Ovis aries: one gene and its partner. The protein of the gene in region 1 binds, or shares a complex with, the protein of each later gene. Links are inferred from orthologs where the notes say so. Each region holds a gene or a part of one and is shown on either strand. Other genes may lie near its edges.

The links. The genes of interacting proteins can lie anywhere in the genome.
Region 2: NUP214 (region 1) and NUP107 share a complex: the UniProt entries of both Homo sapiens proteins name them as parts of the nuclear pore complex. The link is inferred for Ovis aries from reciprocal best matches to the Homo sapiens genes NUP214 and NUP107.

What each region holds. Positions count from the first base shown.
Region 1 is NC_056056.1:5,533,692-5,537,344, forward strand, and holds part of NUP214 (nuclear pore complex protein Nup214), read right to left. Parts: intron 1,470-3,653; coding exon 1-1,469. UniProt on the Homo sapiens protein: Part of the nuclear pore complex. Has a critical role in nucleocytoplasmic transport.
Region 2 is NC_056056.1:151,297,325-151,300,977, forward strand, and holds part of NUP107 (nuclear pore complex protein Nup107), read right to left. Parts: coding exon 3,584-3,653; intron 1,468-3,583; coding exon 1,323-1,467; intron 1-1,322. UniProt on the Homo sapiens protein: Plays a role in the nuclear pore complex (NPC) assembly and/or maintenance. Required for the assembly of peripheral proteins into the NPC. May anchor NUP62 to the NPC. Involved in nephrogenesis.

The DNA of each region.
Region 1 (3,653 bases):
GAAGACCCCTGGGGCGGAGGTGCCAAAGGCAGGACTGCCGAACCCCGAGCTGCTGACCTGTGGCGCGGCGGCCGCTGTGCTGGCCATGCTGCCCGTCTGCTGCCCAAACAGGCTGGGGGCGGTGCTGGCGGCCACCTGCCCAAACATGGGGGTCGCTGAGGGGGCGCTGGCTGTGTGGCTACTGAGCTGGCTGAAAGCTGAGCTGGAGCTGGCAGCGGGAGGCTGAGTGAAGACAGAGGAGTCAGAAGTGGCCATCCCAAACACTGGGGTCTCCGTGGCTGGGCCTGGAGCAGCGCTGCAAACACCACTGGAGGTGGTGGCAGGTCTGGATGTTTCTGGGGCCACAGGGATGGTGCTTGAGGCTCCAGGTGCCGAGATGGTGGCTGGCCCAGGCACAGAGACGGTGGGGCCTGGGGACAGTGCTTCCGTCTTGATGTCTGGGACCCCAGGGGCTGCTGGAGCAGCCTCAGCTGCAGGCACCAGGACACTGGTACTGGCCGCTTCAGTGCTAGGACTGCTGATGGCAGGCTGGGTGAGAGCAGGCTCTTTCTTCCCAGAGTCGGGAGTTTGAAGCGGAGCCTGGGGAAGCGGGGTTGGTGGCTGCTGCCCCAGGAGGGAGGCAGTTGATGTCGAGGCCTCATTACTGCCTGGCTTCTCGGGCAGAGCCGATGACGCAGCTGCTTCTGAGCTTTTACCAGAGCCCGTGGGCAGGGTGGGGGCAGACCCTGAGCTCAGGGGGCTGCCAAACGACAAGGTGGGGAGTGACGTGGGCAGGGGCGTGGCAGTGGACGCCGGGGAGGAGGAGGGTGCTGTGCTGCTTGTTGGTTGGCCTCCGAATGAAAAGCTGGTCTTGCTACCACTGAAAAACAGGCCCCCAAAACTGATAGCTCCAGAGGAGCCTGCACTGGTGAGTGGCAGGTTGCCAAAGACGCCCATTGAGGAGCTGCTGGGGCTGGGACTGGCTGCTGCTGTTGGTGCCGCTGCCGAGGTGGCTGCAGAGGTGGTCTCGGGGGGCTCTGCGGGCTTCCCCAGCACCGCAGGGCTGGGAGAACTGAATCCGGAGGGGGCGGTGGGGGTCTTGGTGGGCTGTGCACTGGCACTGGTCACGCCTGGGGATAGTGCCTTGCTGGCTGGCTTGGTGGGCTCGTCTGCTTGGCCGACCCGCAGTCCTGAGAAACTTCCCAGAGTCTCTCCCGCCAGGGAGCTTGGGAACAGCAGCTCGCCCAGCTTGGACGGTGGCGCCTCCAGCTTGCCAGTGGGAGTGGAGAGAGAGATTCCAGAAGGGGCTGCGGGTCTGCTGCTGTGTGGGGCGGACTCTCCTGGCGCGGCACCAGCTGCTCCTGTGCTAGCTGATGTTATCGTCCCTGAGGAAGGTAAGCTTTCAGGAACGGTCTCATAGAAAGGCTTGCCTCCCCCGCCAAAGGAGAATGCATCGAGCTGGCTTGGCTCTTTGGTGGGGGGTGCTGACCCTGGCAAGAAAAAGAAATTAAGAGATGGGTTGGGTGTCACAAAATATGACCGACCACAGCCTCACTGACTTCTCTAAGCCAGAGCCTCTCTCCTCCCTTGACCTCATCAGGACAGCCTGTTCTGACAGCACTGTCCTTGCGCGGGACAGAACGTGTGCTTCTCCGTGGGAACATGAGCACTGAGTCGTCTCACTGAGGTGAGAGGAACGCACGTTCTTCTCATCACCATTAAGTCACAACAAATACACTTGCATCTAGAGTACCTGAAGTTAACCTAGTTGTCCACAAGAGAAACAAAAGGGCCTCACGCACATTTCCTCCCATGTGTGTGTCTCAGGAGTAACATTCTCAGCACATGCTAGCCTATGGACCTCTTCTTGACAAGACAAGGAATTGATTCCGTACGGTAGGTTTTCTTTTGCTTCTATGAACAAAGTGTCAATCCGCAGGTCATCTTTCTTACCTACAATTCAGGGCTACTTCCTAGTGCTCTCCTCACGGAGTGCTCTCACAGTGGCAGCGTGGTCTGCTGGGCAAGGACATGAGGGGCTGAGGCTGAGGGCTCTGCCACTTGCTGGCTGTGCCACTCTGGAAAAGTTAACTGATTTCTCTGGGCTTCAGTGTCTCCATTTGGAAGACAGATAATAATAGCTATACCTCATAGAGTTGTTGCAAAGATGAAATAAAATGTAGGTAAAGTACTCACAAGGCCTGGTCAAAAAAGTGGTCAACAAAGAAAACTAAAATTTGATATTATAAATGGAAACTGGTCTGTTGCAAGGGCCTGTTGAGGTGTTTAGCTCCATGTGGTTTTAAGAAGTCTAGCTATCACAAACACCTGGGAACACTGCGAAGCCCCTGGTATCTGCAGATAACTTCCAGAAACCCCTCTTTGTATCACTGAAGTTGTACTGAGTTGCTTGTGATTCTGGATTGCTGTCTGTTCGAGTATTAATGAAAATGGTTATGGAATTTCTGTTGTGTTTTATTCCTAATGTATTTCATTTAGGATTTCTGACAATTATTTTGTTCTTGCCAATCTTTTTATACCATTGAGCTGTTTTTCTTTTAGAAAGTGAGACTCGGGAGAGGAGTGGGCCTCAAGTGGTCCACATCTAAGTGGACAGAACCGTTTAGGAATCACTGCTCCAGACAGAAAAGACAGAATGAAATCAACAACCTTTTAAGTGCCGCACACAGACTGGGTTTAAGATGCCTGGTATGCTTTCAGCTCCCGAATATCCCTCTAGCAGATTTTAAGAGATCCCTTTTTTACCAAAAAATGTTCATCACTTGGGCTGACACACAGAAAAGCACTCGTAAAAGTACATGCTGAAGGAAAAGTTGAAAGATGGTCATTGTCTTATTTATTATAGGAAAACCTGGAAAAAGCCTGAACCGTTCAAGAGGGGGATGGTTAAATAAATTAGGGCACATCTGCATGACAAATTATGTAGCCACTAAAAATGACATTTAAACAAGACTCTCACTAATACTGGAAAACTCACAAGGATTGTGTTAAATGAAAAGGTAGAAGCAAAAAATCCCAAAAGGAAATAGAACTGAATGGTTAAGGGTACAATGTGTAATTCTAGAACATATTACTTTAATAAAAAATATAAACACTTTTATAATAAAAGCTTTCTTTTTAAAACAGAAGTAAACTCAATTACTTTGAACTGAGAACTTGAAGGCACTTAAAAAATACATCTGGTTTCTGATAGGTCCTCAAAGTCTTTTAAACATTAAAAACATGCTGGTAGATGTTGGTCTGAGCGTCCCAGCTGGCTCAGTGATAAAGAATTTGCCTGCAATGCAAGAGACTCAGGTTCAATCCCTGGGTTGGGAAAATCCCCAAGAAAAGGAAATGGCAATCAACTCCCAGACAACCCCATGGACAGCAGGAGTCTGGCGGGCTACAGTCCATGGGGCTGCAAAAGAGCCAGGCCTGACTCAGTGACTAAACAACAACAGACGCTGGCAGATCTGCACCAGCGTGCGCGGGACAAGTGTGTCTCCCGATAGGTTATCAAGGAAAGAAACACGAGTTTAGTCTTTCCTTTCTACAGTACTGCGTGTGTGTTCAATCACTCAGGCCTGTCGGACTCCGTGGACTGCAGCCCACCAGGCTCTGTCAATGGAATTTCCCAGGCAAGAATACTGGAGTGGGTTGCCATTTCCTCC
Region 2 (3,653 bases), about 150 Mb from region 1:
TTTAAAACACCTGAATTATATTTTAAGTACACCATAACAAAGTAATTGGAAAAGTTATAGCATATCCTAAAATGACATGCTTTATTCAGGGAAAATATATACACCCTACTATAATATCGTATATCTAAGGCCTCAGCCATGGTTCATACTAAACATGAAATTCTTATATTTTATATATTAAGTACAAAGCATTTTTGAATTACTCAATATTTGAATGCTTATCACTGGCATATACTACAAAGAAGTAGTAGTCACTACTACTCTTAACTACATTGTTAAGAGAAGGGTGCTGAAATCAAACTACTCAGTTTTAAATCCTGGTGCCATCACTTCTTAGCCAGGTAAGCTCAAACAGGTTACTTAATATATCTAAGCAGCTGTTTCCTTTCCACGAAAATGAAATAGTTATTGTATTTATTTAATGGACCATGAAATGCATTAATGTGCATACTGCTGCTACTGCTAAGTCACTTCAGTCGTGTCTGACTCTGTGCGACTCCATAGACGGCAGCCCACCAGGCTCCCCCGTCTCTGGGATTCTCCAGGCAAGAACACTGGAGTCGGTTGCCATTTCCTTCTCCGATGATGAAAGTGAAAAATGAAAGCAAAGCCGCTCAGTCGTGTCCAACTCGCAGCGACCCCAGGGACTGCAGCACCAGGCTCCTCCGTCCACGGCATTTTCCAGGCAAAAGTACTGGAGTGGGGTGCCACTGCCTTCTCCGAACGTGCGTATAGTGGTAAGCATACTGACTAGCACTCACATATGTTAGTCTATAATGATAAATTAACGAAGAATCTATGTCATAACGTGCAGGTATAAACACACTAAAAGCAAATGCTTTTTTCCAGAAGGGTATGGTAATAACCAGCCTAAAGTCAGAATGGTCACAATACTATTTGAAGAAACAGCATTAGCATTCAGGCCAAAACAAAACATGTCAACAATGTCAGATAAAAATTAAACAAAAAGAGAAGCTCTCTCAACAGCACAAGTTTGGAAAGAATATAAGCATTAGCAACTAGTCTAATAACCTAACAGGGAGCTATTTACACTGAAAAGATTAAATGGCAGGATGCTGCTCCAACTGAGAACTAAGGTGAGGTTCTCAACCTTCTAGAGTTACTACTGGGTTGGCCAAAAATTTCACTGAAAAACCCAAACAAATTTGGCTAACCCATTATCATCAAGTGGCACAGCCATTACTATAACTAATAAGCATAACAAAAAATATTTTTAAATATTCAGGAATAGGAGATGATTTCCTTGATGTTAGTAAAATGACAAACTACTGTGTTATAAACAAAGACCAAAGCTATTTTACCAGCTTCTCCAGGATCATCCTCTCGTAACATTACAGCACTGAGGGTAACGTCCTCTGTTACACTGTGGGGCTCTGCGTTTGAGAACAGCCCTGCACGCTGTGATGAGAAAGCAGTGGCCCAGTTACTGTCATCCAGGTTAGTCACCTAAAAGATACAGGAGATACAGAAAAGTAATGTAGTTATTGGCACTGAGTGAATAAAGACTTTAATACTATTAACATTTTTTTAAAAAAACGTATGTGTTTTTCACTTTTAAAAGATGGCCACATGATTATTTTGTTAAGGATATTATGGCTGTGTTTTCTTCTTTGCACTACTCCATTCTTTTATGCCCTAGTGAAAGTGTTAGTCACTCAGTTGTGTCCAATTCTTCATGATTCCACAGACTGTAGCCCACCAGGCTCCTCTGTTCATGAATTTTACTCTCTAGGACTACTTTAAATCAATTTTTTAATTTTGGGAAATATTATGGGATGAATGACTCAGTTTCTTAAACAAATAAATGGTAATGAAAAAAAAGGATGATTTAGAAACTTAACAGATTTAAGTACTTGAGACATACCAAGCAAATGCAATGTGTTAAAAAATCCAGGCATGAACAACAATAAAAATGTACCTTTAAATTAGTCTCCCCAAGGGAAAATGCTAAAGATGGGTGCTGGGACCCTATATATTAATTAGATAGTAACTATGGGCTGAGGAGAGTTTAGCGTCAGCTACCACAAGACCGATTTCCTCTGGGTACTCATCATCATCAGCACCCAGATCAAACTGAAAATCTTACACAGTAGTGATATTCTGCATTCATAAAAATGTTCTGTAGGTAGACACATGGTGTACTTAAACTCAACCAAGGTAACAAATAACTGTACTTCTTCAACCACCTCTCATAACTGATACTAAAATTGGCAAAACAAAATCAAGAAAACATTTTTCACTACAAAGTAACTTCCAAACATTCTGTGACAATCAATACATATTTACTCTATCCTGGCCTTTCAGTTCAGTTCAGTTCAGTCACGCAGTCATGTCCGACTCTTTGCGACCCCATGAATCGCAGCACGCCAGGCCTCCCTGTCCATCACCAACTCCCGGAGTTCACTCAAACTCATGTCCATCGAGTCGGTAATGTCATCCAGCCATCTCATCCTCTGTCGTCCCCTTCTCCTCCTGCCCCCAATCCCTCCCAGCATCAGAGTCTTTTCCAATGAGTCAACTCTTCGCATGAGGTGGCCTGGCCTTTAGAAGAGTAATAATTTTACTATTAAACTTGCAGTTCTGAAGCACTAAATAATAAAAGTCATCATCTTATGTTGAAACCTAGAAGCAGTCAATTCACTCATGTTTTTAAGTAGAATAAGAATAAACATTGCCAAAATAAACCAGCTTCATAACAATAAAACTGTTCAATGACTAAATCACTGTTAAGATACTAACACTCTAAAATATTTCAAAGATTGATTTAACCTTCCAAGACAAGGAGAGGTTTAATATGCAAAACCATTCCTTTGAAAACACATAATTTAGACAATTTCTGGTGTGTGTAAAACTCTGTTTTTTCAATAACCACAGAGCCATTTCTGGTGTGTGTAAAACTCTCTCTGTTTTTTCAATAACCACAGAGCCAAATAAAGAGCCCTTTTCATCTTGGTTCTTGGAACTAAATGAGCCACAACACTCTATTAGTCCAACAAAACTCTTCCGTTTTCATCGTCTCAGTTAGGCACAATTCTTTCTTTCTCTATAGGGTATTTTAAGCACCCAGGTCAGGTCATTCTGCATCACAATCTATATGACATTTCTTTTGTTATTTTAAATACTGTATCATAATGATTCCTGAAGAGTGTCTCACTTACTTTTCCTCAAATTTTCTCTTTTCTCTCCTTTAATGCTTTGTTTTTCTTCCTTATGACAGTCTTCATTGCTTACTCTTGGCCTCCTCTTCTATGCTTCAAAACAGGGTTCAGTTTTTACAGCCACTAGCAACCAATCAGAATTTATTTATTCTGATCAGTAAACTGTCAGATTAATACATTTTATCTGCATCTAACTGCTGCTGGTGTCACAGTTTCCACCTATGACGTGAGATGCTTATGGGTCTCAGTTTTCTGGAAGTCTAACCAAAAAAATGATTTCAACCTACATAACTGAGTTACTTTAATTATGAATAAGACTTCAATTCTCATTAAAAACTTTTTAGCTAAATATCATGCCATACTTAAAAAAAGGGAGAAAATTTCAGCCCCATTTTTCTACATACCATAGACAGATTTCCCAAGAACCCTGAAGACTGTGTAAGCCGGGGAGACCTCCCTCCAGTTCCAAGAATG